Linked DNA regions of Drosophila melanogaster. The protein of the gene in region 3 purifies or fractionates together with the protein of the main gene of each other region. This does not show direct contact. Each region holds a gene or a part of one and is shown on either strand. Other genes may lie near its edges.

Evidence for each region.
Region 1: the proteins of Grip75 (region 3) and Grip128 fractionate together in Drosophila melanogaster (co-fractionation; 2 studies listed by BioGRID). This does not show direct contact.
Region 2: the proteins of Grip75 (region 3) and Grip163 fractionate together in Drosophila melanogaster (co-fractionation; 2 studies listed by BioGRID). This does not show direct contact.

Annotation. Positions count from the first base shown.
Region 1 is NC_004354.4:15,464,865-15,475,841, forward strand, and holds Grip128 (Grip128), read right to left. Parts: upstream 7,256-10,977; 5' UTR 7,176-7,255; coding exon 7,056-7,175; intron 7,001-7,055; coding exon 6,512-7,000; intron 6,403-6,511; coding exon 5,785-6,402; intron 5,725-5,784; coding exon 5,225-5,724; intron 5,158-5,224; coding exon 3,650-5,157; intron 3,586-3,649; coding exon 3,542-3,585; 3' UTR 3,417-3,541; downstream 1-3,416. Other genes in the region: CG6299 (uncharacterized protein), read left to right, coding at 994-1,129, 1,205-1,260, 1,355-1,612, 1,679-1,846; CG15642 (uncharacterized protein), read right to left, coding at 1,969-2,403, 2,489-2,605; CG15641 (uncharacterized protein), read left to right, coding at 3,042-3,410; Alg14 (ALG14, UDP-N-acetylglucosaminyltransferase subunit), read left to right, coding at 7,379-7,954; mh (maternal haploid), read right to left, coding at 8,030-9,631, 9,739-10,095, 10,175-10,297, 10,360-10,452.
Region 2 is NT_037436.4:11,992,227-12,004,405, forward strand, and holds Grip163 (Grip163), read right to left. Parts: upstream 5,913-12,179; 5' UTR 5,825-5,912; coding exon 4,799-5,824; intron 4,738-4,798; coding exon 4,584-4,737; intron 4,523-4,583; coding exon 4,158-4,522; intron 4,100-4,157; coding exon 1,839-4,099; intron 1,777-1,838; coding exon 1,527-1,776; 3' UTR 1,048-1,526; downstream 1-1,047. Other genes in the region: viaf (viral IAP-associated factor), read right to left, coding at 1-643, 813-818; Pop2, read right to left, coding at 7,729-8,464, 8,524-8,864, 10,360-10,368.
Region 3 is NT_033779.5:10,476,410-10,486,357, reverse strand, and holds Grip75 (Grip75), read right to left. Parts: upstream 3,064-9,948; 5' UTR 3,001-3,063; coding exon 2,932-3,000; intron 2,875-2,931; coding exon 2,730-2,874; intron 2,672-2,729; coding exon 2,386-2,671; intron 2,325-2,385; coding exon 2,165-2,324; intron 2,105-2,164; coding exon 1,598-2,104; intron 1,534-1,597; coding exon 1,161-1,533; intron 1,105-1,160; coding exon 831-1,104; intron 821-830; exon of another isoform or gene 765-820; coding exon 626-764; 3' UTR 611-625; coding exon of another isoform or gene 568-610; 3' UTR 504-567; downstream 1-503. Other genes in the region: Cog4 (component of oligomeric golgi complex 4), read left to right, coding at 21-206, 277-503, 568-610; RluA-2 (RluA pseudouridine synthase 2), read right to left, coding at 3,439-3,513, 3,572-3,733, 3,784-4,073, 4,125-4,315, 4,375-4,595, 4,649-4,736, 4,788-5,010, 5,074-5,260 and 1 more. UniProt on the Drosophila melanogaster protein: Gamma-tubulin complex is necessary for microtubule nucleation at the centrosome.

The DNA.
Region 1 (10,977 bases), on a different chromosome or scaffold from region 3:
GATTAACATGGGAATGCCATAATTTTATTTATTGATAAGCCTTATCGCTGTTACTATGATTCGAAAATGCGTGATAGTTAAAAGTTTGTCTAAAAGTTTTTATTTGCTAACTTGCAAATTGGCATTTGAAAACGGTTGCCATTTGAAATACATATATCTTTTTAAAACGCTTTTTTTTTTAGCTAGAAAAACGGTTTTTAACTATTTTTAGTTTTTAGTATTTAGTTTACTAAATACTTTTGGTATTTACACGCATTGCGGTTAGAAAAACGTTAGCGTATTGAGTAAATTATTGTTTGATTCGAGTTTTTGAATCTAAAACACTTTCAAATACTTTAATTTAGCAATTGAAAGTGTTGAAATTGTTAAAGTAACTTAGAATTGTAAGTAACTTTGTCTATTTCAATCTCAGTTCAAAACTTCTCAATCTAAAGCTGTAATTTTTGTAAGTTCCTGCTGTCCGATAATTTGAGACATAAAATCGCGTTTTATCCCATGGTGCAAACCTGAAATCAGGTTTTCGTACTAAGCCAACTCGGATTGGATCGAAGTGTGCGGAACTCGAGCTCTCTGGCGGCTCTCCAAGATCCAAGACGCCAGCTGTGAGGTGGGTTAAAGCTCTGACCCCTTGCACCACCCCCCCCGTAACCCGTTCCCCCCGGCGAGTGGGGAAACGTAGTCGCGCACGGCACTTTGCTCAGCCCAGTTTCCATTATCGCCGCGTCGGAGGAGAAGGCCGTCCGATGGCGAGCTCAAGTGTCGCACGAGTGTAGAGTAGTATTAGAATTCCGAGCGCAGCTCGTTCGATAAGATAAACAGCCGATATTGGTGCCCGAAACTAAGCAGGTGGCCAACTTCGCTTGCAGATTTACCAATCAGTCGGCGTTCGAAGCGCATTGGATACGGAACCAATCGGAGAGCTAAGGAGAGCAGAAACGCAGCAGAGCAGAGCAGGAAATTAGAGGACGGAACAGGACAGAACAGGAGCACACGATGGCAGCCAGCGAGGGATCGGCGGCGCGCATTCAGTTCAAGGCGCTGCGCGGATTTCCGGCCATCGGCGATACCGCTGATAAGCTGGAGACACAGGCCTTTCTCGACGCCTCCAAGGAGATAGTAACCGTCATAGGTGATAACAGCGCACCCAAACCGAAGCCAATCAATTCAACTCACTGCTATCTATTTACCATTTTTCATTTTTCAGAGAGCTTCGGCAAACTATTCACACCCGTGATCAGCGACATGAACGGAAACATAAACGTAAGCTTTCCAAGATCTTTAAGATCTAACACGAAATACATACATATATATACATGTGTACATTCGTTTTCATTGCCGTTTATTGCCGTTTCAGAAACTGACGAAAGCCTACGGAGCGGATGTGGTCAAGTACCAGTATCTGGAGGATCTGATCGTGCTGAACGTGAACGTGGACGACTTTGCGGCCAACGCGCTGCTCTGGCTGAAGCGCGGCCTGCAGCTCATATGCACCTTCTTCGAGAACATCTACAACGATGCCCAGGCCAAGGAGGCACTTAAGCAGCATCTGCAGGACGCGTACGAACGCACATTGAAGCCCTACCACGGCTTCATCGTCCAGAGCACAATCAAGGTGGGTGCATCGGGCGGGTATCTCTCACTTCCTTCGCTAATTGGGCGCTCATTCCCTCGCTTGCAGATCATCTACAGTTGGGTGCCCACGCGCAGCCAACTGCTGGGCCAGGGTGTCGCCCAGGCGGAGAACATCGAGGTGCTGACCAGCTTCCTGCCGCGTATGCGCGCCCATCTGGACTCGATCGACGCCCTGCTGAAGGCGCACAACTTGGACGATGCACGAAAGGTGTGATCGTTCCTTAGCCTAGCCTAGCCTAGCTTAGCTTAAATAGCTTATCCTACTTTATTATTTATGCCCATGTCCAAGTAAAACGCAGAGCCTTACTTATAAACCACCTGCTGCACAGCTCATCACTACGATTCCGGGTAGCGTCGCACGCGTCGCTTTTGCTCATTGGTCGTGGGTGTGCCCACACTGGCGGATTGCTGCTGCTCCTCCTCATCCTCCTCCGGCAGCTGCTCGTTCCCTTCTAGCGGCAGCGGCAGCTTACAGCCTGGCTTGCAGATAACAAAGTGCACCAGAGACACGATCACCTCGAGAACTATTAGCGCGAACACGGCGTTCGTGATGATGCGTAGCCACAAACTGCGTCCGGCAGCTGAGAGGCGAAGAAAGACCATGGCGGGCAGCAGGATGCATGGTGTCACGGTGAGCAGCATCCACATGGCGGTGGCGCCAGAGCACAGGTTCACCGAGTAGCCGGCGTATAGGCGTACGGATTCAGCGGACACCGCCAAAACGTAGGCCACCAGCATGGACAGGCCCTCCAGGTTCCACAAATGATGCAGCTGCCGGGGACAGACGGAAGCTGATTATGACCGCACATGCCGCAGGGGGGGGGGGGGAAGGGGGTAATCTCAAATGAAAACTTACGCGTATGAGCATGTGGATCATGTAGCTCATGGCCCACACCATGGACACATACGTGTTGGCCTGCAGCAGCATTTGCAGCACCAGGTTGGCCCGATGCGGCGTCACCGAGTACGCCATTTCGATTGGATTTTCACCAAGCACTCTCTAGGCACTGCACTTCAGTTCAGTGGCAAGTGGCTGCAACGTTTGTTGTACTTCCTGCTGGTTGCCAGGGCAACGTAATCAGCTGGAAAGGACGCTTCAGCTCTGAGTGCTGCGACTGCTGCCGTTTGCAGGACCTAAGCTGCCTGCTCCCGCACTCGAAAAGGTCCTGCCGCAAGCTCCTTCGATTTAAATATTCAGCTACAGCCTGTCTCCAAACTCTTTTTGACATGTTTAAACTATTGGAAAGGGTTACTTTCTGCTCCAAATATGTATTAGCCTAACATTGAGGTGCTGCAGATTGAAGATTGAAGGAAGGCGGAACACATTAGCGCCACGCCAACCATGAGAAACCAGCTAAACGGGCGAAGCGAAACGAATAGAGCGGCGAGGCGGCAGAGATCAACGGACTATGCGACGGCAAGGAGTGCATTGCTGCTGTCTGGTGGCCATCGCCCTGGCCATGGCCATACGCCAGGTGTCCATGGGCATCAGCGCCAGCGATCGCCGCTTCCAGTGCCTGCAGACGCGACTGATAGGCCAGGCCAACTGCTCGCCATGCGCCGATCTGTACGTCTTCAATCGCCAATCCGCCTACCGGCGCTGCGAGCACGTCAACGGTAATTGCTACCCACATCGCACGGTCTTCGCCAGCGCCCGCATGTGCGAGCTCACCTGCCAGCCGTACATCCGGCGACCCACGCTGCACGAGGTGACCACCCTGCCGCCGCCACCACCGATCGTCGAGCCCTTCGGCGACAGCGATGAGGAGTTCGAGTGAGGTTTTGTCAACAAAGATAAGCTGCTTTTAATTCAGTTGGTATGGGAATGTTTGGTCGGGATTATAGGTAGTGGTGCAGGTGATGGTAATGCGTAATGTTTAACAAGATCCTTTGTGGAGGAGATTCGATTCTAATGGGGCACACTGGAGTTGATGGTCTCCTCCAAGGCAGACACTGCAAGACGAAGTGAAAAAGAGTAAGTTCAAATGTCCAAATTTCGGGACCAACAATCACTTACGGAATCCGTGATCGTTCTGGTGCACCAGCGTGTTAAGGATGTCGGCCAGCATCTGGTGGCAACGTATGTACGTTAACTCGATCTCCGCCACCTGGTTGAGCGCCAGGTACTCCAAGCTACGACGTTGCGTTTCGCTGTCATCAATGCCGTCATCCGAAATGGTGACGTCCAAGCATAGGGCATCGTGGTCGTGCATGCAGCTGGCGCAGGTGGTCCACTCCATGTCCAGCACGTAGACCAGATGAAAGATCTGGTCGAGGGCGACGCGGAATGCCTTAAATTCGTCGGTCAGCATACAGTGTGTCTTCAGCCACGCCAGGTGCTCGTCGTGCATGATACGCAACTCGCGGACATTCTTGCACTCGCCAATCCTGAGCTCGAACTGCCGGCTCACGGCCTCCATAATGTGCGCGTGCAGGTTGTTGATGAGGAAAATTAACCAGAAGCGCACAATCTCCAGGCGACGAATGGTCAGACCGATCAAATCCAGTGGTGCGCAGGGATTGAACCTAGCGCGACGCAAAAACTGCATATTCTCCAGCTTCCAGACGGCCCACTTCACCTTCAGCATCAGACGCCACACCGAATTGTAGTCTTGCATGTGCGCGGGTGTGAGAATGTACCACTGGTGCATGGCCATTGGCCGCTCGAAGTCCAGTTCAATAGCCTCCAGGGCCTCATAGACCTTGATTGAATTCGAGTTTATCTGGGATATTAACTTGACATGAAGATAATGAGCCAATTGCGGATAATGCGGAAGGAGCACAGCGCATAGCTTAGAAGTGAGCACCGAACCCAGTGCCCAGCTATTGTTTTTCTCCATGCGCACGAAGAGTGCGTTGTAGTATGGCACAAATAGGTAGTATTTCTCCAGCAGCATCGTATGCCGCAGGAATCGCATCTTCTCGGCCACCTGCGTTTCCTTGCAGTACGCTCGAATCGCGTACTCGTTCGCCAGCCACTGTCTCCTTCGCAGTATTTCGCGCAGTGCCTCCGGCAACTCAGACTTCAGCTGCAGACATGTGGAGCGCTCCAAGCGCTTCAAAATGTTGGCCATTAGAACGGGGTTGCTTTTAAGCCGCTCACGTTGTCGCTCCAAACGTTGTTCCACCAACGGCTGGGTAAATATGGCGAAAAGTTCATGGTTCCTAATGCCCTGCCTATTGCACACAGTCAGATCTTCGTAGTCTTTGTCCGGCTCCGGCTCATCCTCGTAATCCGTGTTGTCCGCACCACAGTAAACCTTTAGCTGCGCAAAGAACTGCGTGAACAGCTCATCGTGCAGCGACGGCAGTTGGATTTCATTGTTGCTGGTCAGCATTTCGCTCAGCGTATTTACACTACATAGCAAATCTTGCGTTTCGCCAGACTCCAAGGCATGCTCCAGCAGTAGCTGGTAGAGTGGGCAGGATTGCAGCTTGTTGAAGATCTCCACGAGTAGCAAATCATCCTCCATTCCCATATTTCGTTTGCGCACGTGGCTACGTGTGTTCGCATCTTCCTCGTAACTATTAAAAACAATGTAGTTATGACTTCAGCTGGCCAGAGTGATGTGTGAGCACCATTTTGGCTTACCAAAACTCCACGATGAACTCGCGAAGGTGATCTTCCAGCGCGGCCCTGCGCCACCAGCCGTCGATGATGATACAATATCGCTTGAGAGATATAAACAGCAGGGCAGTGGCCAGCTTCTGGTGCGGCACCTGCAGCAAGGTGTGCTTATACAGTCTGGATAGCAAGTAGGCACTGCGTATGTGCGCAGGTCCCTTATCCAGGATGACATCTTCGGCCAGCTCTCGCAGTAAGCGCAGCTGGCTAAAATGTTCCCTGAACTCAATCGTAAAACGGATCAGTGTATTTTTCGCTGGATCCTTATTGACACGATCCTCGTAAGCGATGAGGAGCTGGCAAATGGGCTGGACAAGATCTCTCAGGCCGTATGCAAAGAACTCCACGGTGTATGTTGTCTTTACGCCATGAAAATGCAACGTATGAGTATCGATGATGTGACGCAGTTCCATCATGTCCTCCAGCGCAGGCACCACATCAAATAACAGAAAATTTTGCATTGTGCTCTACAAAAAAAAAAGCCGGACTAAAGATAGAGTTACACATTAACGATTCGACTTTCTTACCGCAGTCACCGTACAAATACTGACATTGTCACGCACAGTAATGCGTCGCGTGGCCTTGTCGAATTCAAAGAAACAACAGCTCGCTGGACGCACAAACATGAAGAGGATCTCCCTTAGCAGACAGGGCTCCGTGATGGTTTTCGGCACTGGCAGGGCCAACAAGCCTCGGGCATTGTGATTCAGAAACTGCACGTAGCTGACGGCAAAGTTGTCCAGTGGCTTAGCACTGGAGGGCAGGGCGTTTAAATGGACATCTTGGCACCACCAGTGGGAATGGATTTTACGGAAGAGCGTATCTGTGTTGCCACTTTGCCAATATTGGGTGAATGGTCGGGGCGGTTGGGGTGGCGGCAACTGGAGCAGCTTGCTTCGTCTCAGATGGCTGCCCTTTAAGTTGTTGAGGCTTAGAACAGTTGGTTTCATTATCCGAAAGTCGTAACTCCGGATCACGCTCTGCTCGGGCGGCATATACGTTTTGTTAACACTTCCAGTCGGAACGACTGCCATCATGGCCTGCTCGTACACCCTGGCCATTTCCAAGAGGCTTCGCGAGACGCCAATATTTTCATCGGGCTTCAGAGTAGTTGTCGAGTCGCAGTCCGACTCCTCCGACCAGTCCTTTTGGAAAGAAGGTAAAGGTATTAGTATGCTGCAAATGATTTTATGGAAAGAACAGGCTACATATGTGTAGCAGATGACATATGTTTGGGGTTCTCTAGATGCTCACACTTAAGCTGTCCGAGCTGTCATCCTCTGGCGGATCCAGAAAATCCTCGGACAGCAGCGCTGCCCAGTCCACCTCCGTTTCGGAGGTATTCTTGGCTGCCTCCAGTTTCGCCTGTTCCTCTATCTGTGCCTGTCGCTCGGCTTCCTCCATGCTATTAATTATGGACAGACGGCGCTGTTCCATGAACTCGCGGTTCAGCCGGATCTTTTGCACCGGCCTATCGGCTATGCGAAACAGCAATTCGAGCATTTGCCATCCGGGGTTAGGATTGAATTGCTGTTGATTTTCGTCCATAGCCAAATACCTGATGGCCAAGTCCTTGATGCTCTCACCAAAAGACGCCATGCCCTCCGCCCGAAAACGCTCTGCCAGATCGTCCAGGTTGCGTTTCACCTCCATGTCCGTCGTTGTAGGAGCCCATGTCCTGCGTTGGTTGGCGATTATCTTCAATGCCGTATCCTCCATCTGGCGCAACTTTTTCTGGCTCGTCTGCGTTTTAAGTTGGTTAAATTGGAATAGGGATAACATCTGTTTTAAAACATACCCCCGGTTCCGACAGGCTCCTGACCAGTTTTCGCACGTTCTCGTTTATGGCGGAGTTGACTGCCGTCGAGGTCTTGCCGGAGCGCTTCCGTAGGTTACCCTTCTGGGCGGGAGGAGCCATTTCGCTCCGCTTTCTGATTGAGATCCAATAAATTCTATAAATGGCGCCCTCAGCAATGACAACAACGTAAATGGTACACCGGCATAATTATCGGTTCAGTTATCGATAGCAATGGAAACAGCTGTTCGTGGATGATCGACAATCGACTTGAAACGTAAACAATTGTAAATGTTGTCATTTAAATTGAGTTTTCGAAGGGCAATATGACGACCAGCTCGCCTCACCCCACCTACGTAATACTGGGCTCTGGCGGCCACACGGCGGAGATGTGCCGGCTGACCCAGGCGCTGCTGCAACAGACAGACATCGAACAGACGGAGAAGTACCAGCCAATTAGACTGATCCTGGCCAACAGTGACTCTACCTCCGAGCGCCAGTTCAGGCAGGTCCTGCCGCAGGCTGCCCAGAGGGCGGAATTCGTGAAGGTGCCGCGCAGCCGCGACGTGGGCCAATCCTGGCTAAGCAGCATCTTCACCAGCCTGTGGGCGCTTCTCTGGAGCTGCTATCTGGTCTGGCGTGATCGCCCCCAACTGATCCTCTGCAATGGACCCGGCACCTGTGTGCCCTTCTGCTATGCCGCCTATCTGTGGCGCCTCCTCGGACGCCTGCCCTCGCACTCCAGAATAGTGTTCGTGGAGAGCTTCTGCCGCGTGGAGACGCTGTCGCTGAGCGGACGCCTGCTCCTTCCGCTGGCGGACCTCTTTGTGGTCCACTGGCCGGCGTTGGCCACGCGCTATTTGGATAAAAAGAATGTGCGATATTTTGGGCGAATCCTGTAACATGTTTTTAATAACATTAAAGTTAACATTAGTTTCTATTTAACGAATTATGTTTTGTATGAGATGTTTTTTGTCCTAGCGCTTCTTGCGACCAGCGCAGACGGATCCATGGACCTTCAGGTGTAGAGGCATGATCTCCAGGCCACATCTGGGGCAGCCTACGGTCTCTTTGAAGAGGTTGCGCTGGCGGCGCTGACGCGGAGTAAGTTCGTCCTCGCTAGACGGCAGAGTAGACGAGTCGGTAGAGGAGCTCAGGTTGAGCTTGTCGATCTCCCCTTCTGTGTAACCGGAGCTGCGAAGAATTCCTTTTGATGACTTTGCTTTCGATTTAGCGCGGCGTGATGTGGAAGCTCCCGACGAGTCCTTTGAGGTTAAGGAAGCAGTTGTTCGGCGGTTTTTAGGCTTAAACGATGGCGGTTCCAAGCGCACCATAATGGCGCAGCCATCGAAGTGATTGGACAACTCAGTGCGCCTCATTTTCTCAAAGCAAATGGGACAAGATACGATGTCGTTCTCAATTCTTTTGGCGTAGCTTGAGCAACTGGGCTGCACGTCGTTCTCACGCTGGAACTCCTTCAGCAGGGTGTCCTCTCCAAAAATATCATCTATAATGGATTGGTCAGCTAGCTCCGTGGCGGCTGTTAAAGATTCATTTGCGGCCACCTCATCGTCGTATTCATCATCAATTAAGAGGATATCGTCCTCACACAAGGTCAACTCATCCTCCATTACCTGGCGCTTGATGATCTGCGTGCGCTCCTGACTGGTCATGGTTTTTCTGCCAGCTGGCATCTTCATCTCCTCTTCATCACTAGAGCTTTCGACCAAGTTGACGATGGGCGTATGAACATCCCTGACCATTACGTCATCATCGTAGGACTCCCAGTTGATTATCTCGCTGTCGCTGGAAACACGACGCCTCTTTTTCTTATTCTGTCGCTTGTTGGAAGCATCTTCGCTAAAACGCTGAAGTCGAATTTGACGAAGTTTAGCGGAATCGGGAACATCAGTGTCACTAAGATCTATGTGTTCTATAGCGCTAGAGCCACCAAGACTGTAGCCCTGTCCGCTCATTTCAGTGGTGGCTTTCGAACCTGATTTGTCCAGTTCATTGAATCCGCCGCTTTTGTTGCCTTTTGTGCCAGCAGCTGGTGTCTTGGGCAATGCAAAGGGTTCGGAAGAGAGTCCGGGATAAGAAGTCGGCGGCACCGCCTTCGCCAGATCGCCTAGTAAGACTGTGCCGGTGGCCGCTTTCTTGGCTGACGGCTGGCCGAACCAGTTGCGTATGTCTTCCTTGGGCGCGGCCACCGCCGGTGTGGACTTCTTAGCCCTTGACTTGGTCTCCGGCTTGGGGGCCTTCGGGGGTTCACTCAACTTCAAAAAGGTGCCGCTGCACTCACGTTGATGCATCTTCCACCACTGATCGTTCGGACCGGGCGCTCGGTTGCTGGTCCGCTTCACATAGCCCCAAAAGGGTGAGCGCTCTCGGCAAATGCCCGTGCAGCGCCAGATGTGGGTGCGATAGGAGGCCACCTCATCGTGAAAAGTGTGGTAAACGGTGATGTTGGTGCCCGCCACCTTATTGATCGTCTCCATGATGCGCTTGAAATTGGGTCCATGGCCACCGTTACCCTCGCGTATATTGAGCACAAAGCAGTAGGCATGGATCATTTCGTGCTGGATAAACAAAGAGGTATAATGTAATGCTAAATAGCTATGTGCATATGCAATTCTATAGGCTTGAGATGCCAATTAAGAACCTTACTGCGTGCAACAATTCTTACCAAGAGCGTTTCCACGAGATCCTTGCGCGGACGCAACTTTAGCAGCGGCTCACTGAGCCGAATGGTCACCTGTTTGACGAAGCGATTGCCACGCTGGTAGCAGATTCCAGCGCACGAGTACATCTTCTTGCTCCATTCCAGGGAGACGGCGCCCAGGCGCTCCTGGAAGAACTTCTCGTCGAAGCGTATGAACATGGCGTAGATGTCCGGGGTGGGATCGACCAGCTCCCACTCCGGATCCACCAGATTCATCGTCTTATTCAGATAGTCATCATGGCTGGCCTGAATAGCGCGCACTGGCTTCTTTTTAGCCGCTTCTCGTTTTTTGTTTTTGATTTCAGAGTTCTCCATTTTTGTCTGATTGAGATGAAAGGCGATACGATATGAGCAGGGCCTACGGTTGAATGAAATGCTATGTTTTTCATGGCACACTCACTGATTTTGGCTGATTCGATTTGGGGTAGACGAACTGAATGCTGCTGTCCAGCTCGCTAGCACCGTCCTCATCGCCCTCGTTTATTAGGTTCTGAATCCTGCGTGCCAGCTGATAGTCCCTGTCCTGCAGAACCCAGAGTGGAGAGTGTTTTTTTATAGACCAGATTACCATTTCCAACTACGTACATTGCTGGCATCCGCGGCTGTGTAACTTTGGTCTGACTCCGCATTTAGCTGGTTCTGCAGGTTCAGAGCGAACAAGTAGTCTGCATCTGACATGATGGTCGCCTTGTTGATCCTGGGCCAATCCTCTACAGAAATTAGTATCGCAATTTCGAGGTGCACAAAAATACTTCGAAAAATATTTCGCGCTTCGCCGCAGTGTGACCAGTCTTTGGGGCAAAAATATATGCGCGGTTAGTCAGGTATCGATAAGTTCGGTTATCGCGCAAAGCTTGCCTACTCTATTTATCACATTTAACGACAGTGGTAAGCGATTTGAAACTTAACAAGCGATTTAAGACTACGGTGAAATAGCGCGACACTTTTAATAATATTTGATAAAGATTTGTGCTATAAAAATTGGTTTTACATCAACAAATAACCGTGGTTACAGTTCAATTCTGTAATAGTGAAGTGCACGCTCGTTTAATATAACAATATACATATAAATTTTAATATAACGTGATAAGTCTTATTACTTGCTTCAAATAACATATACACAGTGTTCAGTGTCGCACAAAGTCCATCTCTAGTTGCAGCGCTTTTTTCAAATAGCTCAAGAAATTCCGAGAATCGAATTTA
Region 2 (12,179 bases), on a different chromosome or scaffold from region 3:
TGATCTCGGTGGGCACTGCTCCCGCCTGACCCAGCATAAACTCCAGCTCCTCAGCGGTCAACTTGTCGCCGCGCAGCTCCAGTGGGCCTATGTACTGCTTGCGCAGCGCACCCTCGTGGTAGATAAAGATGGTGGGCAGGTTCTTCTCGGGGAAGTTTGGTATGCAGGTGGTGGCAACGGAGCGCACGAACTTGGTCTGTGGAAAGCGGACGGCCAGCTGCTGCATGTGATGGTGGATCAGTGCGCACAGCGGTACGCCGTTGGCATACAGGTGGAGTACCACCCAGATGCCCTCGCCGGCCTTGGTTACCTCGTTGACATAATCCTGTCCTGAGATCTCGCGCACTGATCCAAATCGCGCCTTTTCAGCGGTGGCCCTCATCTCGGCGATGCGTCGCTGGCGATACTGCTCTAGAACAGCCTCGTCCTCGGAATCCTCCAGTTCGTCGAGTTCGTCCAGCGACATGTCGTCGATCTTCTTGTCGCGCTGGCCTTCATTCAGTGGCAGATCTGTGCGCCGCTGGATGGCATCGTCCATCAGCTTCTGGATCTGATCCTCTGTGATCTCCGCCTCCTTCGCCTTGGGCCCAATTATTCCCTTGGCTCGGAGCACATCATTCCACTCGGTATCTTCGTTTGGGTCCTATGGACAACAAGGCCACGTGAGTTTCATTTCATTCATGATTTTCAATACCAAATATGGGGTTTATTTTTGGATGCACCAAAACACACCCACCATTACCATTTATCGAAATGGAAAAACCTTATTGTTCGGATAATAAATATAATTTGCTTATAACAGTCCATCTTACCTGCATGTTTTTTGATTATAGTTCGATGAAATAAATTACTTAAAAATATAAAATTCTTGATCGCGTGCAGCGCTTTTATAAACTAAAAATAAAACTGAATTATTCTACACGAAGTGACTCATGACCAGGGATGGAGCGAATACCGATACATCGTACGCGCACAGTCACTTAGAGATGATAGGGAAGCGATACCTTACATACGTTTGAATTAAATATTAAATATTAAATATTAAATATGGTAAGACATACATAAATAAGCACATTTATTTATAAATTCGAATCAACAGTTTCAAGAAATCATGTCGACATTGGTTTCATTACAATATTTAATACGTACATTCTACTTTAGAGACAATTGTCTCTTTTAAAAGTTTTTCTTAAATATTAAACAGAAATCTATTAATGATATGGATAAATATTCAAAACAGTTTTTTCGGCATTTAATACGAGTTCAATTAAAACACTATTAGATGTTACTAATTAAATTATTTTCTTTTAATTTGAGCCGGTTATTTGAAAATTAATATTAACTTACAACACAACAAAACTGTTAACCGAAACTAAAGAAATAGTACTAAGAAATAAATGCCTTTAAAGCTGATTTTCTTCACCGAAGCTTTACATTTAGGAGACGCCATGCATGCATAAATATTTTTTAAAATGTTCTAAGCTCAGCTTAATGGCAAGATAAATTCCCTATCTAACAATTATTGGCTAGCACTTTTTGTCCTCCATTGAGGAACCAGTATGGTTCCCAGATACCTTGTAATAGTGGTTAAAGTTAATAATACAAATCAGGTCACCGATTTCCTCCTGGTAACCAGAAGCGGCCGCCTTGTTGCCCAAATAGATGAGATACTGCAAGAATTTCTCGAACTCAGCCTCTTCCTGCTGCAGACGTTTGAAGCGGGGGTGCACAAAGTAATTATCTTGATCCACAATAAAGGACTGCGACTGAATGACTCTGAAAAACATTTAAATTAAAGAATAAAATGAATCAGCAGACTATTTAAGACGTAAACTCACTTGCAAAAGCGTAGTATAATCACTAGGATATTATCAATGGTTTCCTTTACTTTCGCACTGCGTCGATTTAGCAGTGCTAGGAAGGCTACCCGCTTTAAGTAGGCAACATGCTGCTTGTACAACGCCTCAATGGAATCGGCTGTGCACAACTCCTCCTTGAAGCTCTTCCAGGTGGACAACAGGGCCTTGGCCACCAGATGCGTTTGAAACGAGGTCATGAAGTGCGACATCTTGTGGCGCATCATCTGCATGTGTCGGAAATGAGTACATGTCCGAAGTTCCGGTCCCAGAAGCTTGCCCATTTGCTGCAGATACTCGTAGGTTCCATCCAGCACGAAACTAACGTGACGAAGCTTCAGCAGATACCCGAAGATCTGGCCATATTTTGAAATCGTCTCCGAGCTGATCACCATGTTTAAAGGCCAATCAATCTTGCAGTTCAGCTTTAGCATAGAAGTGGCTTCCACGGACAGGAAGTTGAGCGTATCCGGGATGGTGGTACAATTGAGGGTAAGGTTCTCCGATACCGTCGTTTCATCCGCCGAACAAGCCGCCAGCGCATTGGTTAAAATGGTGTCAAGGATGCCCTTCTGGCTGAGACTTCGTGGCCCAACGCCCGCCCTTATTCTTCCTAGAATTTCGTTCGTGAGTGTAGCTCCAAATTGACCGTCCACCAGGAAAAAGTAGTTTCTGAGCTTGCGGAAATGCTCGTAGATACGCTGCTCCTGGAATATTCTCAGCACTTCATTTCGGAGCAGTCCGTAGTATGCGTTAAGGGGCGCCATTACGGAGAGCTGCAGGCAGCGGCGGGCCATAAACGGATTGCAAGCCTCGGGCAAAGTGCTAACTTTATCTCTGTCCTGTTCCGTCTCCCTTTCATCTTTCATTCCAAAATCCAGTTTCGGCAATAAGCTAGTTGGTTTAGCAATTGCAAGAACGGGCTTTGGCAACTCCGGAGACAAACTTTCAATGCTCCCACTAACATTGTTATTATTAGCAGTGTCAGCTATTTCTGGTAGTTCCCGTGGCGACGGATCACCGAAATCCACATCGGAAGTGGTGGACATTGGAGTTAGCACCGCCAGGGGAATTTCGACGTGAAGCTTGTCGATTTCGAGAGGCAAACAGGGCGTGGCCTTTGTTTCTATATCCGTGTTCTTATAACCTAGACCGAACTCGGTCTCCATAACCCGAAGTCGATTTCTGCCACGTTCAGTATTTGAGTTCAATAGGGAACGCAATCGATGGGTGTGCTCATCTTCGGTAGAGTTAAAACTGAAGAAGCCGTCATGATGCTCGTTGCGCTTGCGGTTTCGCTGTAGTTCGGTCAGCTCTTTCGTGTCCGGGCAATTGAGATTAGCATTAATATCTTGAGGAATTTCTGCGTGCAATCCTGAACTCGTGCTGGCAGCGGTTTTAAGTAAGTCGGACTCTTGTAGATGTACCGTGGCATGACACTGTTGAAACTGGTCGGAGGAGAGACCATGCTGGCGGTTTCGATTGAACTCTGCTTGGGTTGTTGGATGCTCGTTAGAATTTATCACGTCCGAGTGACTCCGTTGATACTGAAACACATTGGGAAGTGAACACTCTTTGCCACGTGGTTGGTCCACATCTACATCCGCTTGATATTCAGCTTCGGGCTGTTCCAATGGAACATTTAAAGTCTTATCCAACTGTTTTGTTGCCTCATCCTCTGAATTTTCTGTATTTGCATCATCTTTATCAGAAGATGATTCTGCTAGACAATCTGGTTCCTCAATGCAGGATGCAAAACTGAGATCGCTGACTGTGCTTCGGTCAGGACTGGACGACAGGACAGCTGCTAGCTGCACCACTTTCTTTTGCAGCTCTTGCTTTTCCCGCTCCAGGAGCTTATCCTCCATCCGTTCGCATTCCCGCTGAAATGCAAGTTCATTAACAATGTCCTGACGCCGCTTCTCTAAGTGATTTTGCTGGATACGTTCCTGCTCTGCGTTTAACTGATCGTTCTGGAGTTTTTTCTGGGCATTCGCTTTTATTTGGAGTTCACGCTGCTTCTGCGCCCACGCGTCCAGATGGGCCTGCGTTCGCTTCACCATTAGATTGGCAAATACACGCTTTGTCGCCATGCGGTCCTCGAAAATGCTTTGCATGCTGCACCATCCGAAACGTTTATAGATGATGGCATACTTATCGGCCAGGTTGCGGCGCATATTTTTGAGTTGTTGCTCCGTTAGGCAAACCACAATATCCGGGTACTGCACGTCAAAAACGGGGTGCTAAAAAAAGAATAAATCATTATATATGGATTCTAGTTTTGAATAATCTTCTGCATACCTGAGCGTTATATGCCCTTAGCACCAGGTTGTATTTGCCACATTGAAGAATTTCCTCTTCGCAACCGACTAAAAATTCAGGAATCGCCTCGTTGTCCACTTGATAGCTTTTGTCAAAGAACTCTTTGCTGCACTGGTTTGTAAAAGACGGTGAAGTGTTCAGACAGCGGCTGATGAAAATCTCGTTGACCGACTCGTCTAGTTCACCATGGTAGATCCATCTCTGTAGCTGAATAAAATAATTACGGGATATGCAGCGCAAGAAATAGATGAGCAGGTGCAGGAAGTCTTTGTTTCCGCAGGTGTCGATGGCCAGCCAGATGGAGCTCAACAGGAAGGAGCCAGTTATCCCAGTGTTCAGGTTTACTGCATTAATGTATATAAAAGAGATTAATTCTGAAATAATTTCGCGTCGCGGCATTCTTACATCTTGGTTCATTTTCGAACATCCTATCTAGTTGGCAGAGTAACTGAATCGCTGTGGAGGTGTTGTTTAGCAGCTGGAAAAGGCTATCGGCTTGCAAAGAGAGCAAAAACTGCCGAGTGGTGCTTAGATAGTCCATAATCGTCTCTCGCATGGCCTATAAGAAAGCATGGGATTGTTGAATATATCACTACTGGAAATAAGGTATTCAATCTCACTCGATTTAGAGGCCTTTCCAGCCGCATTTCGGCGATATTGTTCCATTTGGTGCGGGAACTCAAACGCAGGAAGGCGCAGCCGGCACGAATGAAGTGATTTGCAAAATCCGCCAGCACCTCCGGCAGCATAGTTGGCAAAGTTGTGTTGGGCCTCACTCGCAACTCCAACTTATCTGCCGACGAGATGGGAAACGTTAAAGATTCAATACCACACGCTGCTTTCTTTAGGTGATCGATTAGGGTTGCTTCATCTAGGTAGTTGAGAACCAGGTTCTTGTTCCGGAGGATCTTAAGTTCGTTGGTCAACAATTTATCCGAAACGAAGTGCTTCTCCGGTCCAGGCTGGGCCACAAAAGGTCGTTCATCCTCTAATGGAGCTACGACTTTTTTCGCGAGCACTGGCAATCGGGGTGGTGGATGCATTGGTTTTTCCATTTCGTTCCTCATGCGTGTAATGGACTCTGATAATCCCATGCGAATTACAGTAGATGGTATGATCTTCGGAATTAGCTTTTCTGGCGGAAAATTTATATTCAGGTTACTCGTTGTAAGAATATCGGAGTATGGCTGTAGTTGCAGGGGTTTCAGGGCGCGATTCATTTGATTGATGTCGGGAAAGGCCTTTGGATGAAGTGCCTCCTCCACAATCTCTATGGTTTCAATCAGCTGCAGTGGACCTGCCTTGATACGTTTGATCACCACTTCGGACTGGTTTTCCTCATCCTGGTCCTGTGTAATCTCCGATTCTTCCTTATCCTGTCCTTCTAGCAGATTTTGGAACCTGAGCAGCATGTCCATCCGGTCTGGGTTCTTTGCCACCTCGCTGGTCACCTGGTGGAGCATCTCCAGCTTGTCCTGGGACGACATCGTTTCACTGTGAAGCAGCGATTCATAGATTTTGGAGCGCTTTTTGGCCACCAGCACAGCTGTTTGTTTTTTTGGCTTCATCTCATCGGCCACCAGCATTGTGGCCATTTTGGTTACCAGGTCGAGGACGCTGTGATTGCATTCAGCCACAGTTGCCATCGATTTGGCTTTTAATACTCAAAAACTAAAAGATATTTTCCATAAACAAAACATAAGGACTAGGCTCGGTGTGACCGCACCACAGTTTCACAAAAATCCGACTATTGCTACTTCGGCGTATTTCCGTTATATTTTAAAAATACCTTTTATATGTTCATTAACCCACTATTGATTTTTAACCCTTGAAAATTTTGTTTTCATCTGTAGATATTGGGATTCTTGGTTTCTCTTGATTTGATATTTGATATTTGATATTTTTTTCTACAGGTTTTCGCCATCTTTTTTCTACTAAACCAAACATCTCGATTCGTATTCATACTTCAAATAAAAACACGTTTTCGAAATGTACACTAAATTAAAAAGTTTTAAATATATTGTTTTTTTGCTCTTTTTACAAATACACAATATTCTCTGTTTCGCTCATTGGCTTACAGTTTTAGCTTAATTTTACATACCTTAGTTTTGTATTCGTAACACATTTAAGACATGCAGAACTTGAAATTGAATCTATTTTAGTTTTGCCGGTTTTTCATTTCTATGCGATTTACAATTAGTTTATGCCATGTTTTCGTATTGAACGGTTGCCTATTCATCTGAACTTGCGTGGGAAACATCAAGAAGTTAGCTTTATGGCCAACGGGGTATAATTGTTCACAAATGGGAACGATCTGTGTCGACTGTCCACAGATTACTGCAATGGTGTTGTTACGGCTAGGATCAGTTGGCCAGGTGGTGTGGCCTGCACAGATGCCGACGGACCCGGTGATTCCTCCTGCTCGAACTTCCTGTCGTGCACGACCACGTTCCCCATCAGTACGAATCATGAAGCGCTGTTCGTCTCACCGTTGCTGTCGTGGAAGTTGGTGCCATTGACGATGAAGGAGGTACCCAGGCCGTACAGGTGTCCGGAGTACTTCGCATGGTCGATGTTGTCCTCGAAGAACATCTGCAAAGATTGTAAGTTTCATTAGGCAGGTACAGAACATTGGATCGTTTTTCGAATGGGACAGCACAAATGGGTTAGAAAGCAGTTTCTGGGTAAGTATGGTAATTATGGGATGTATCAATGCGAGCAACTTTAGTTGGGAGCTACAAAGCGTATAAAGCACACATATTTCTACGGCAGCAAAGTCTTAGAAAGTAATCCCAAGTAGATGGGTGGGTCCTACTTGTAGATAGGATTTGTTACATACCGCAGAACCGATGTGATTGGACGAGGTTTCAATATTAGTAAATTTCATATTTAATGAATGTTAGTATGGGATGGGATTTATTCTGCAATGTTCTTGTTATTTCAAAACTATTCGGCAGTTCTCTAGAAGATAAAGGTCTTGGTACGCTGATACACACAGTAAACCGTGTGGAAACATATGTCAGCAAAGCGCTTAAAATTACAAAAGAATAATTTGTTAATTCGATATAAATGAAGAGCGTGAACTTAACATAAATTAAAATGAACATCAATACAATTAAAAAGATGTCATATGAAATCAAGCAAGCTATGATATGCATATGCCATGCCCAAACACCAAAGAATGCAAATAAACATTTAAAGAAAATTAATTCCAATTCATTTAATTTTCCATTCGAATCCAGCGCGTTTCTCATTTCAATTCGTATCGCGGGCATTACAGCTAAATAAACATGTTTCACATGGGTTTAACAGCTCCAAACTAACTACTAAGAACACTTCAAATTATGGATTTCATTCATAAATTCTGGGTCACTGGCTCTGTAAATTGTGCAGGTCACAAAAAACTAAGTACATAGATGAGTTATGTATGAAAATGCGTTATGACAACCATGAAAAACCTTAAACCTAAGGAATAATGATTATGATGGGCGGAGGCACGTTACGTTAGCAGTGGCAAGTGCACGGCAACACCAGCGAGCGAGCTGTCTAATCATCCGAAGCTATTCGAAATAGACGTATGGCGATTGGACAGCGATGCGGCATCGCTCTTGGCCATGCCGGGCGTATTAGGAGGTGTAACCATGTAGGCGCTCGAGGTGAACTGCTCGGTGGAGTTGGTGTTGCCTGTGCCGTTGCCACTGCTGATTATCGCAGATTCGTCGGGGGCAGGGCCCCCATTGTATGCCGGACGGCTCAGCAGATGGATGCAGCTGATCGTCGGCTTTAAGTTCATGGTGTGCTCAAGCAGATAGCGAAAGAGTACATCGTGCGCCACCGGTGTAATGTGGAAATCATTTGTGTGCTGTACCTCACGCATTTTGAAGAAGGCCATGCCCGTCAGCAGAGCATCCGAGCCGGCCTGATGCTGGGGGCCCACGCGCCGCAGTTCCAGCTGATCGGCAACCTCCTGCAGGCCGCCTTTCAGGTTCTTGCACGACTTCATCAGATACTTGATGTCGAAGATGTTGGGAAAGTAGATGTGCAGCAGATCGAAAAATTCAGATTCGTCCGGGGGCAGGTTCTGATCGGTGAGCAGCTTTAGAAGGTAGCCAAAATCGTAGCCGGAGTGGAAGCACAGCCACTTGATGTTTTCCACCAGCACGATGCCAGAGCTCATCAGCAGTTCGGCGAAGTCGATGGGATCGATGCCATCCTCCTCGTGCTTCTTGAACTGAATTCCGGAGTTCTGCAGCAGATCGATCGAGTCCTGCGCATACATGTCCTCGCTAGGGAAACAAACGATAATATAGGACCCCCCATTAGAGCATAAACAAAACACTTTTACCTCAGGTTAAACTTGAAGTTGAACTGCCAGGTGGAGTAGCCGGGTGGTGTCTTTCCATCGTCGTCCATGAAGGTAAGGCCCAATTGGATAATCCGCAGCAGATCGACATTACAGCGCAGCAGCTGGTAATGATAGTCCGCCGTGGAGCGGAACTCGCCGACTGGACGTGCTACCACGCCTGGAAACTCGGTGTCCATGGCCACATAGTGGTACTTCTGCACCACTTTCCGTATGGTGCGGAACTCCTCCTCCAGGTTTTGCTTCCACACATCGCGGATGCCGCACTCCTCGTTGCTGGGTATGTGGGCATGTGGCGCGCCACTGATGGCCGAGGGCATTGTCTGGGAAAAGTATTGGTTGTGGGTCAAACTACTTGTAATGTATACATATTTCAGTGTATAAGTGTGTATATGTTTGTGTTTGTTTAGTCCTAATTTAAGATGTGAAATATTAGTTTTCGCCATCAATGCTATGATTAGTTGATCAAGTCCTATCATTTTATGAAGCATAGTAAATGCTCCACAATGCAGATTTATAAGGCACAAACAAACTGAAGAACGTTTTACAAACATTATGAAACCTTTGTTTATAATGATGGTTTACTAATTGTTGTTTATGGTGCTCAGTTTTCGAATTTGTTTAAACATCAGTGTAAGGTTACCGATATCGAATATTTCCATAGATAAGGACTAATCCCAGTGTCTTGTGTTTTTGTGTATTTATGTGGAGGTAAGAGTTAGCAACATAATAAAATAGCTGGTCCAATTGGTTAAGCACGATAGCGCAACTAAACAGGAGGTTCACAATTGAAGATTGGCCAATATCGATGTTAGAAGTGCACGAATTTTGCTGCTGATACGAGGAAACAACATAAAATAAAATCATATCGAAACAAGGCAAGTGAAGGTAACGATTTTTTGGAAATTTGCTTGGAGGTGGTTACTGGAGTGATTGGGTTTACGATGGCCGCTACTTACATCGTCGCCGGACGTCGCCTGGTGCGCACCCTTCGCCGCCGGATCAGCCACCTCTTCGCACTGACCTACAACCAAGCCTCAAGCAACAAGTTCCACCTGGATGTGTGGTCTTAAGCTCTGATTCGGGGGATCAATGCTCCTGATCGAATGCAGGGGTATCGGAATAATAATTCAATCTGCCTTTACAGGATTATACCTATTGCACCTATGATGTATCGCATGCATTAACACACCTTCAGATAACACTGGGCAAGTTATTTAAAGCTGATGCTGCAATTAGACAGCATTAACATGACTTAATTTCTAACTACAGTGTGAGAAACATTTCCCTCATTGTACACAGGTTATATTTAAGGTTTTGAAATATGCAGAAAAGTTCTCAATCGCTGCTCTACCCTTTATATGTTGTATTAATTAAGATTTGGTATGCTTTACCAATTATGAATATAAGGGCGTTTAACATAAAAATATGATTTTAAGTCACATCATAGCAAGTCAGAAATTTCCATACGTTTTTGAGCATTTGCAAGTGACACTGAAGATTTGAGGGTGTGAATTTCAATCCATTTCGAAATCGGATTCATAGTGCAGGCTGGGGGGGGGGGGGGGGGAAATCAGACAAACACGAAAAAGTGACTATTTGCGGAAAATGAAGAAACCGAAAATAAATAACAGTTAAAACGCCCTAAGAAAACTGCACACACTCGCACACACGCTCACATCACACCGCACACACACACACACACACACTTGCAGCGGCATTGAAGATGCATTTGCAATTGCAGTTCGTTTTCGATTTGCGCCGTGGAAACGCAAGGCTGTGGAAATGGACCCACTCGTGGTTACCCTCGCAGCTTACCCATTTCATAATATTTGATGGCCGACCGTGTAGGTTTCGGCTATTTGCACAAATTAAATGTTTCTATCGGCGTCGCTTGTTTTGCGGGGGGGTGATGGGGGAGAAAGCGGCGAGAAAATAGCTGTTATGGGGCACTTCCGCTTCCTGCACGGCGATCGTTTTAAGCGCACACTTCAATTGGCGGAGTCCTCTGCGTTCGGCAATAATTTCCAATGAATGTTTATCAGCGAATATCGTTTGTGAGCCGCGCAAGTGCCATAATAAAAAATTGTTCGCGATTGCGGCAGTGAGGGTAAACGTTCGCTCTTCGATTCAAGTGCTGGAAAACGTGTAATTGCTACAAATATCGATAGTTTGGCGACTTTAGTGGTGCCCATCTTTTGAATTTTTAGTTTCTGTTCATAAGCATAGTAATTAGAAATCTAAATTAACAAAAAAAAATGGGTTTTGTTGTATTTAAATATTAGGCACTCAGCCACTTAAGTGCTGCCAAGCCCTGCCTTTGACTCGCTATAGCAGCCGCCTAGAGGGCGCCAGGGAAACTATGAAAGTTGGTGAGCGATGGCAACACTAGACTTTCAGCTGTTCGCTGACAGTCAAACAAATATATTTATTTCAATTTCACCGGTAGAAGTGGTAGCTTTGTGATTTTTTAACTTTAATGTTAAGTGTTAAAAGTTGATACAAAAATATAGATCATAATAATCAAGTAAGAAATGTTACTGGATTTGTGGTTTTTCTTTTTACGTCTGTCCCACTTTCCTTTTAACTTGACCCATTTGTTGTTGCAAATTCTTGAGGAATTGGCTCGCGTTATAAATAAACAAACAATTGAATCAACTGTTTTCTCAGTTTGTTTACGTTTATACCAATACAGTGCAAAACTAGTTTTTTCACACATGCCAAATTAAAAAAAGAAAGCAAATAAGATAAATAAAGCTCGCCGTCTGTCAACAATCGGCAATTATGTTTATACATACATACATACATGTACGTACATCGGTACATAACGACTGATCTCTCCAATTATTTTGGTTTCGTGGACCCTCAAAGAACGGATTTCTCCAGTTTCTTCAAAGGGTTAATAAACTTTTCGCACGTTTCGCATTTTTATGCTCAATCCGGTTACAAAATGCTGATAAAACCACTTGAACTACACGTTTCCGTACTGATAAGGGCTTTTCTTCTTATCTGACCTCTGGAATTCAATAGTTTACCTACAAGGAAGGAAACTTTCTAGATTGTGTTGCAAAAATGTCAAATTTATTTAGTTTCTATTTTATATTTAAATATTTACAAACCGATCCAACAAGAACGTTCCATTTAAACCTCCCCTTTATAGGCGTTTTTAGAAAATCATTCTAGTCGCTCTAATCGGTCTGATTATTTTAAGATACATTATATTCATTACTTATTTCACAATGCTACCTAATAGTTCACTAAACGCTGTTAAATTGTTGACTGTCGATTGTATAAATCGCATTATCATTGCTTTGTGGAACTAATAGCAATTCTAAACTCGCCATTCTTTCCACAAGCGATTGGCAATATTTGCCATTGTGGCGTTTGCAAATGACATAACAAACAAACAATTTCGCCATAATTATTGGCTCTAAATTGAAAAGAATAGTTTGTAAACAAAGCGAAATTCAATTAAAGTGCACATTGTATCTCGTGCCTTCGGTCGAGCAATTTGATCACGTTTTAGGCGACCCGAACCAATACTTTCAACTTCGCCAGTTGTTCAGCTAATTGAGGTGGTCGTGTGATCACTGATCAGGAATTCTTCGTTCACGCGATCGTTTTTCAGTCTCTGGCCA
Region 3 (9,948 bases):
AATGCAATCTGTTTTTACAGGAGGAACTTGCTGCTTACGAAGCTGGGGAGACATTTGTCCAGTTCTTCATAGTGCAATTGGATGGACTACTTAACTCTTTTAAGAACTCGTTGAGTCCGCGCAACTATGATGCACTCGTTAGCATTTTGGCGACCGAAGTGACTATTCAATTGGAACGGGCTATTAAGAAAATCAGCTTTAATAGAGTATGTATCTCAGCAGGTCAAATTTACCTTGTGGAATTAGAATAATAATGGATTATGTTCTATTCAAAAGCTTGGCGGTTTGGTGCTTGATCAGGAAGTTCGTGCCTTGGGAAGTTATCTAACAGGAGCTACATCGTGGTCGGTTCGAGATAAGATGACACGTATATCCCAAATAGCTACGCTCCTCAATCTGGACAAGATTACGGAGCTATCGGAGTACTGGAATCCGGAGAATAACAAAGAGATGTCATCTTGGCATCTCACACCTAACGAAGTTCGCACATTTTTAACGTTAAGGTAAGAAAGTTTATTTAAAATATAACATTTTCTTCAGTTTATTAATCGTTTGTTTGTTTTTCAGAAATGACTTTCGTATAGAAGACATTAAGCGGCTACAACTTTAGGCAAAAACATCGTATTCATGCGGACGTATTATGACTGGCACTGAACCAACAATTGAAATCCAAACGCAAAAGCAGCTGCGAAAGCGGACCCAAACAAGAAGCTGATTTTACATCGACTAATAGTTGGATAAGGCTCGCAATTTGAACACCAAAACTATAAGAAAACAACGTTTTATTATTATACAATAATAACCCACTTATCCAAAATGTAAAGACATACCTTTCATTAAGTTGGTCGACTTCATCCTCTAAGTCATCAGACGGATCTTTCGTTTGGGTCATATGCGCAAACTTCTCACATATGCCAAAGAGTTTAAGAAGGGTTCCATAAATGGGATTTCGGTTTTGGCTCCCGGTGACATTCAATTGGGTCTCTGATTCGTTAAGCAGGAAGCAATGCGAAAGAACATTTGCCAGAAATACAGTGTGAGCCCTTTGTATAACTTCGAAATCACTCCTGCTCTTGATCACATTCATCAAAATTCCAAATTGACCTGTAACAAAATGTGAGTTATTTTCGATCAATTTCGTATTGCGCTCAAAAACTCACTTTCCAGCACATCAACTTGAATGTAATACTGCATGTTGTTCAGAAAGAACATTAGATAGTTGCGAAGAGTTATGATTTTGTTATTTGGAGGCACATCCTTTGCACTCTTCGCCCTCCAAGTCTGCTTGGCCCAGACCCTTTGTATTTCGTATTGATATGTTCGAATGATCAGTAAAAATCGGAATATATTGTTGTACCGCTCGATCGTTGTTGGGGAGAACAAAAGATTCAATGGCCACTCATACTCATATTTTAGACTGAGGCCTTGCAGAAAATTAAAGTCGGAGGTATCGTCTGGTTCAGACGTGCTTCTCTGGCAGATCAGTGAAAACTTGTCCAAGTCATCTGTGATTCCCGTGACAGTAGCTGCCAGCTGAGTATGAGTTAAAAATGTAAATCTAAAATACATATTTAACAACATTATGCGTAATTAGTACCTCAAATGATCTAGTGACGTTTTTAAAACGTTCTTCGCGATAAGTTTCCATGGTACCGACCATTTGGGAGCAGAACTCCAAGTAGAACTCTCCTCTGCCTAGCAAAAAGAAGTCCTTAATCAGTCCCATTTGCCGCTCCAGATCCACTTCGTTCACAGCGATCTCCGACAGCCGGGCGCTAACGTAATTCTTGATATCGATAATAACCTTCTCGAGGCGAAACACATTGATGGTGTCCTCGTTGCTCAAATCAACGACCATTTTGAAGAACTCGGACTCCCTGCCGCTCCACAGCTGATAGATATCATCTGAATCCAATTCAGCCAGTTTTGCCGCCAGTGGGTCGGTTTTGTTTTTAACTTTTACGTTGCGCCCCATTTTGAAGACCAGCACTGTTTGTCCCACGAACAGAACTTTTTCGGCTAAAACGATGGAGAAAAATCCTGGCAGCTGAGACATATTCACCTCATATTGCCATATGTAATCCTCGGGGTTTTTCTCTGCGCTCTGGATATAGATATGCTATTTATAATATAGGGTAAGGATAATCGCTTGTTAAGTTGTTACCAGAAGTGAGCAAGTGGCTGATTTGCTGAATGAGCTACCATCAACTGCATCCGTTGGGGTAAACTTAATAAAGAATTCCGAGTGGACATCGTCAATCACTCCAAACAACAGCCAGTGAGCCAGGCTGGAGAAAAATGCGTTCTTAACAGGCTTCATAATTCTGCATAATGAAGAGCATTTGGATTATGGAAACAAGGCGTTGTGTGTTGGCTATCACTTGCATCTTGATTGCTTTTTCCAGTTGAATATCGCCGTGCTCGCACTGCTGATGTAGATTGTGGAGCAAGACGCATCCTCGCAGATTCAGCACATGGATCTCTGTGATGAGATTACGCATGAAGACCAGAAGGGGGAACTTGGCGTACAGGGCATTGTAGACATATGAGAGCGAATTGCGCTCGTTACCCAAACAATACTTCTCCAGACGTCCGATCTCAGCGTAGTACTCCTCCAGAGCCATTTCAATGCCCTTGGCCAAATTGAGCAAGTAGTAACCATGCAAACTATCTGCGATAGAAATACACATTTGAAATCTTAAAAACACTATGCAACCTTCCATTTATACCTGGAAGTTCGCCATGTGTGTCGGACTTTCTTCCCGATGAATGGGTAAACTGCTCAACTTCTTGGTAAACCTTAATGATTTTTATAATGTCCATAAATATCTCCCGCTCGCAAGGATGTATGAACTGGTCAATGACTGTGGTTTCCTAGAAAGTTCGCTTGTAAGGCTTTCGAAATTATTTATTTCCAACGATTTTACTTACATTGAATGCCTTTATACCCAGCTGCTCCGGATTGTGGCTCCGGCAAGCCAATAACAAATCGTGTATCATTGTTTTGCTGCTTTAATTCGGTATTTGTATTTCATTTGCGCCAGATGTCCGACAGAGATGACACATATCCTGCCCCGTCCGTTATCGATAAGAACCAACTAATCGATAGAATTAGGGGCATTCCCTTCCCGCCAACTGATTGTGGTTTTAAATTTTAAAAATTCGCAGAACTGCAGTTAACTGAAACCACTGTGAGCAGAGTGTTCAGGTGAAGTTCTTGCAAAGTATTATCCAGGATAGTTGGCATCCTAGGACATCCACTGCACGACGATAAATAATACTCCACGAGGACATCCCCTTGCACCGCAAAATGATAAAGTAATTCGGCAAAGTAATAAAACAATGCTACAAATGAAGATAAAATGGAAACACAATTTGTTAAACTCTGTAAAAATATTTCTTTTTACTAAAGCGTCGTGTTTGCAATCAATTTTTCCTTTATACTTTATCGTAATCAATATTCGAATTACACGCCCATTCCGGCAATTCGGTTTCGTACTCCCAACCAACGCCCTGAAAATAAGATTTAATTTGAAATTAAATCTTTAAAAATGTATAGTTTGAAACTGACCTTGTATTTCCATGCATGCAAGTACATTATGAGATCCTTTGTGCCGGGGTCTCTGTAGTTTATCTTGCATTCAGAACATTGCGGATCCGAAGTTGTCTTCTTGGAATCAAAGGACCTGTCTGGTTCCTCATAGCACGTTTGGGTGGCAATCTGTGCAGTAGCCTATAAGCATTGTGTTCTCCAGACTTGTACAACTATTTTAAGTTACTTACATCGTTACTTGGTTCAAGGTTTTTTGAAATCACAGGCTTTTCAGTTTCACTATTAATAGGAGCCTGAACTACTGAGGGAGCCTCTACTACTGAAGTACTTGCTGCTACGTCTTTTATTTCCCCTGATACGATTTGATCTCCTTCCAAGCCCAACCAGTTTTCTGCATTATGAATGCTAATTAGGTTACTGATCAACTGTTCCTCGGTTATTCCACCGATATCTCCTCCTCTTCCTTTCAATGGACCGAAAACTTCATGGTTGTACAAAGGATCATTTGAAATGGGATAGCCTGTGAAATACGAGTGTTATAATTGAATGGAATTATCTGGTTGTCACTTACCCAAGAATTGTAAATGCACTCGTATTTGGTGCATTCGTCCTGTTAGTGGTTTGCACAAAACAATACTATCACTGCCCACCTCGCCGATTCTTTTAAATGTGGTCTTACAGTCCTTGCCCTTCGGTGAAACCTTACAAACACCTATTTTGTAGCTCACGACGTCGATTTTCTCATTGCATTCAACTATGCCACTACGAAAGATATGAAAAATAAGCAGATATATAAAAGATTAGATGCATTTTGGACTTACTCTGGAAAGCGTCCTTCAACGCGGCAAACGTATTCCTTTTGCACTTGGCGAGTTCGGATTTGCAGCTCCAATTCGCGGGCTTTTTCAGCAGTCCGTCCAAACAAAAGTAGGCCAGATGTGAGACGATCCAATCTGTGAATGGTTCGCAGGTTCTTCAGATTGTGCTCCTTGGCCAGGATGAAAACTACCGTGTTGTGTCTATATCTTCCACAAGGATGTACCTACAACATACGATTGTTATTAAATCAAATTCCTTCCAAATTAGTATACCTACCGGTATCGATGCCGGCTTATTCACAACCACAATATCCTTGTCCATGTACACAATCTTGATGGGCTGTGAAGTAACAGGGACTTCGTGTCTAGAATGCAAATGTGTGCATATTCAAATGAGATTTCCTGCTGATGCTTACCTATGCACCACATTGGCCAGCAGATCATTGTGCTTGATTTTATAGTCCTTGGGCACTTTCTCAGAGTTAACAGTCAATTTTCCCGCTTCCAGGCTGCGTTCATATTCCTCCGGCGGTGCGGCTCGAAATTCGCGGACAAATACATCCAGAATTTTCTCATCAACCCAACGTCCTTTGGCGAACGTGGTGAATGTGAAAAAATAAGGATACACCTTCCGCAGACCTATAGATTGCAATTTTATAACAGAATATCTTCTAAGTTGGTTTATTAATATGTTGGCCATACCATTCTCAAAATAATACGATGTTTCGTCGTATCTTTCATCGCTGAATCCAGGACGCTTCGTTTTTAGACTATTGGCCTCTAATTTTACTTTTTTCACATGCCCTTCGTCATCTGTGCTGCTAGCTTTTCGCTTTTCCGACAAAACTTCTTTTGATTGCGTTTCAGACTTTTCCTCTGATATGGATATCTGTAAGATAAACCACGACGGGTGGTAATAGTTTTTTAAAATATTTTCAGCTTCATTGAATGTCTTCTTTTTATTTTTGAGCAAAAACACCTTTAGTTCTTGCTTTAAACTGAACAATTGCTTACTATTTAGAAAATTCGTTTAGATTTGAGGAACTTCACTCTTGAAGATACAGAAAATACGAAAGCCTACCGTGCCAAAGTCATCATATATGTATCCTTATCAGCTTATCAGCTCTTAACACATTGGAGCCTTGTTTCCGGTGTTTGTGTGCAAACAATTCCTCGTTTTCATTCTGCAGCCCAAGCATAATTTTCAGACAGACTGTTTGTTTTTTCCTTGTTGCACACTAAAAGGAAAACAAAAACTACAAAATTGGCTGCGAACCAGTAGTATTTTGTTGGTTACTGGTCTACCAGCCAATATGTTCTAGCCAGGAAGCAAACATAGACAAAAGTCCATAATAAAACAGGTCTCTTGAGTTGTTTAAGGGTTATGCAAAGTTTAAAACTATAAAATACAAACATTTTTTATCATTTTTGTGCTGCCCTCCCTTCTCCACATCTCAAGTGCCATAGACATCATTGATTCTGCGTCGGTCCTCGTAGTTTCACGAAGCTCTACAGCAATTACCTTAAGAATTGCAATTACCTTAAGAATTGCAGTGACCTCTGATCCTGCAGAGATTATTCTAAAGCTGTTATCAGCTAACAATGGGTTTCGATAAGGTTTTTATATTGTTAGGCGGTGTTTTTAAGACTAGAGGAGCTAACTCCCTTGGGTACTGCTTCTTGATACACCCTGATTTCATCCGGATCAGCATCTTGGAACTTATCCAACTGGAGGATAATGACATGCTCTTCTTCCGTCGCCTTCATTGGCTCATGTTTCTGTTTCCACATGCTCTTGATGGCACATTTCCAATCCGTCCACACCTGTGCGCATAATTATCATACAAATTGGATATCATCGGCGGCTCCCCTCACTTGCCGCCAATTCGCATTCTATTTTTATCGCGCTTTTTTGTAAACAAACCCACGATTTTTCTTTTTCTTCACATTAACCTACATTGATAACAAATTCAACTTAGCGTTGCCAGATCAATTCAATTTGGCGCCTCGCAGATATCTCAACACATTCGAAAGTGCCATCTCTATGGGTTTTGTTCCCTTTATGGTCTTAATTAATATATATACTACACAGATTTTACATATTAATGCAATTGTTATTTTTATTTATTTCATAATTTTTTGTTTGTCCTTGGCTATTAAAGTCAACATAAATAATGCTTTTGATTGTTCCAAGTCAATATGCCACCATTATTATGCCACAAAAAGAAAGTTAAAATCATTAATATTACCTGTTAATTATAATTAACAGAGGGGATGCAATCAAACCTTATTAAAAAAAATAGGTATTGTGTCTGTGCAAAAAGCCCAACAAGAGTTTTTAAAGTGGCAAGATTTGGGAATATTTGATATGTTCGAATGACAAGGCTTATGTTTTCTTAACAACCACTTTTCTATACATTTATTTATTTAGTTAATTGCGCAAAGTGTGCCTGATCCGCAAAGCCACTTAGTCCACAGGCAGCCTATCTTCCCTTTTAATTCCTCAGTTTGATGGCGCAAGCCAGTGTCAGTGGAATGGAAAATGGAAAAGGAGTGCAGGCGACCAAGTCTTAGAGGGATTTTCCTCTTCCTGCAAACCAGTAACCGCCATCCGCGGCGGTTTTCGTAATGCGTGTTTACATGGTATTGTAAGAATTATAAAAACGACTGGCCCAAAAGGCGCATCGCGGAAACAATGAGGACCGCACTTAGGATACCCACCCGCCCGTAAGCACGAGGCACTGACACTAATAATTGCGGAAACATCACGACCAACAGACCAACTTGACAAAAGTAGCTCGTTAGGCAGCCACCGCGCGAGATGCCGGGACACTAGAAACCCACTGAAACCCCACCCAAAAAAGAACTAATTATGACAAATCCGTGGTAAAATATCTACGAAGGCAAGTGAAACGTGTCCGTCCATTCGTGCGTCCAGTTGGTCCCCACACATAACTTAACTCCTTGCAGACGACAACCTCGAGCTATTTCCCTATATACATATATATACATGTATATAATGTATATGCGTTTGTATACACTCCGGTTTTTAGTTTATTGATTAGTTTAATTAGCGAGAGAGAATTAGGAATGGGTCTGGCGCTTTAAGTGTACACTCTGGCTAAATATTTAAGGCCATTTGACACTGTCACGTACGTTGAGGTGGAGGAACCAGCAAACAAAAAGCCACGAAACTAGCATGCCTGTACCGGTTTTTGTGGGCCATTAAGGGTTTTGTCTAAAATCTGGTTTTTGTTGCACATCTTAGCAAAGCCCTAAATTTTTAAGAATCTACTGACGCCTAGGGGTGGCTTTAAATTTCTATGGCGGCCAGAACGTTGACTCTTCCACTGCAGGCACTGACTGCAGTCTCGTTTATTGGGGCATTTGTGACTCAAAGTCTCGTAAAAATGGCTTAAATCTCCAGGTACCAGGGTGCAGCTACTCCTCCTGGCTCCACCGCATGTTTATATACAATTTTATGACTCTCGAAACTTTAAGGTAATAGAATAAAACTGAAATAAACCCATTTCTTTCACTCACATGTGTGGGTGTCACGCAATGCTGTTTGAGCTTTCTTTCATTATTGTTATTAATTAGTTTGCAACTTACTTCGAAACTTTTTCTGAAGAATAAATACAAAACAACACTTTAAGCTTCAATCAAAAACCTAATTTGCCTCTAGTTTATTACGTCAATTTAGAATTAAACTACTACAGTATGAATGAGCTTAGATATGAAGAGCATTACAACAATTGAAATTGTACCTAATTAATTGTTTAAATTAATGCAGCAAATTGCATTTGCTACTCCCTGATTAGCTTTTTAATTAAGTTTTAAGTGTGCGATTGGAGCTGCTGCATTGAAATTTCCCTCGACACCAATAATACTGCATAAGTGAGGACAGGAATCCGAATCCACACAATTTGCGAGCAGACCGGACTAAATTGTTTTGGGCATTCGATTCCCCCAAGATAAATATGCTCTTTTACTAGCTGCGAATCGGTCAAAGTTGGAGAAGTGGTCGCCAGCCGCGGATTCCTCGCTATAAAGCGGGTAAATAAATGGGAATTAATAATGGAGGGCGACACGCCAGGGTAAACAAATATGCATTCAAGTGCATGAACAAAACGGCATTTAATCAAGTTCAGCTGGATTTTACACATAAATATATTCCTGAATATACAATATATTTCTAACATTTCTGTAATGTTAAAAAATTATAACTATACAGTATATAATTTTAAAAATTTAGTTTTCTTTTTTATAAATACACAAGGTATACTCAGCAAACAATGCGGATCATATGTAATTATATATTGTATGATATCTTGATATATAATAGTAACCGGATCTATGTACTTAATAGAATGTCTTATCTTATCACTACTCACCGGTGGATCTTTGCTTTCAGCTGGACTACCATCCTTGTCGTCTGGACACCACACGCATTCGGGGGAATCTTCCCGATCATGGAGATTGCCATCCGAAGTGGGATTTGTGTATAGCATATGGCGGTGCAGGAATATGTTTTCCACGTCCACGGATGAGGCATCTCCATGCTGGGTTTGTGCATTTCTCAAGAGTTTGGAACTCTCCATTTTCAACAGCCACGAGAATTGTTTATAGTTTTTGATTTGCGGCCAATTTACTAGAATATCTAAGCAACGCTATAATAATAACAACAAGTTAGTCAACACGTGCGCAGATTTCAGTTTCAAACACAAAAACACTCTGCTTTATGCGATGATTCAATTGAATGAGTTAAATGTTACTTTAATTCATAACACAAACACCACTTGCCAAACGAAAAACGTCCCTAAATTGCCGCAAAAACCGCATGAAAATTACGTTTTTATGCCGAAAGCAAGCAAAACCAAAACATTGCCTATCGATAAGCGCGCGAACCACTGATTCGCGCCGATTGAACTTCATTAGGGGTATTTGCACGGAACTTACTGGTTTTTCAAAGCCACTCGAAACCGTTTTCGAAATGCTGAAGTTCAAGATAGGATATATGATATTCGTTAAACTAAAGATATTGCGTGAAAAACCAATACAGATTTAAATTGTAACAAAATGTAAGAAATCGCTTCCACCAAAAATGAGGCAGTCCTGGGATAATGATAATGGCTTAACGTTTTTGAAACCTTATCTTCAAGCTGTTTAAGTTCTTTTAAAATAACACCCAAAATAACAAGCACTCGAATTGAAAATCCAAATTAGCAGCAGTCATAAAGAAGTTAATTTATAACTGCCTGCAATATCGCAAATAATATACGACTCGAGTTGGCATTTATCCAGCCTTAAGGCTTAATTACATTAACGTGTGTTCCCATATTTGGTAACTGCATACATGTGTGCGAACATGCATGTGGGAGTGTAATCGGAGGCCCAGCACACCTTTCTATATATATATACATATAAATGTTATATACAGGTTGGTAAGAGATCTGTGTTGTTTATAAACACGCGCATGATGGGCATGTTTAGAGGCAAAGCTTTTCTATGAAAGCGAAAAAAAACGCGATGTCGTCATTTTTAGTTTTGTCCAGGCGAAAAGTCAATTTAGAACAG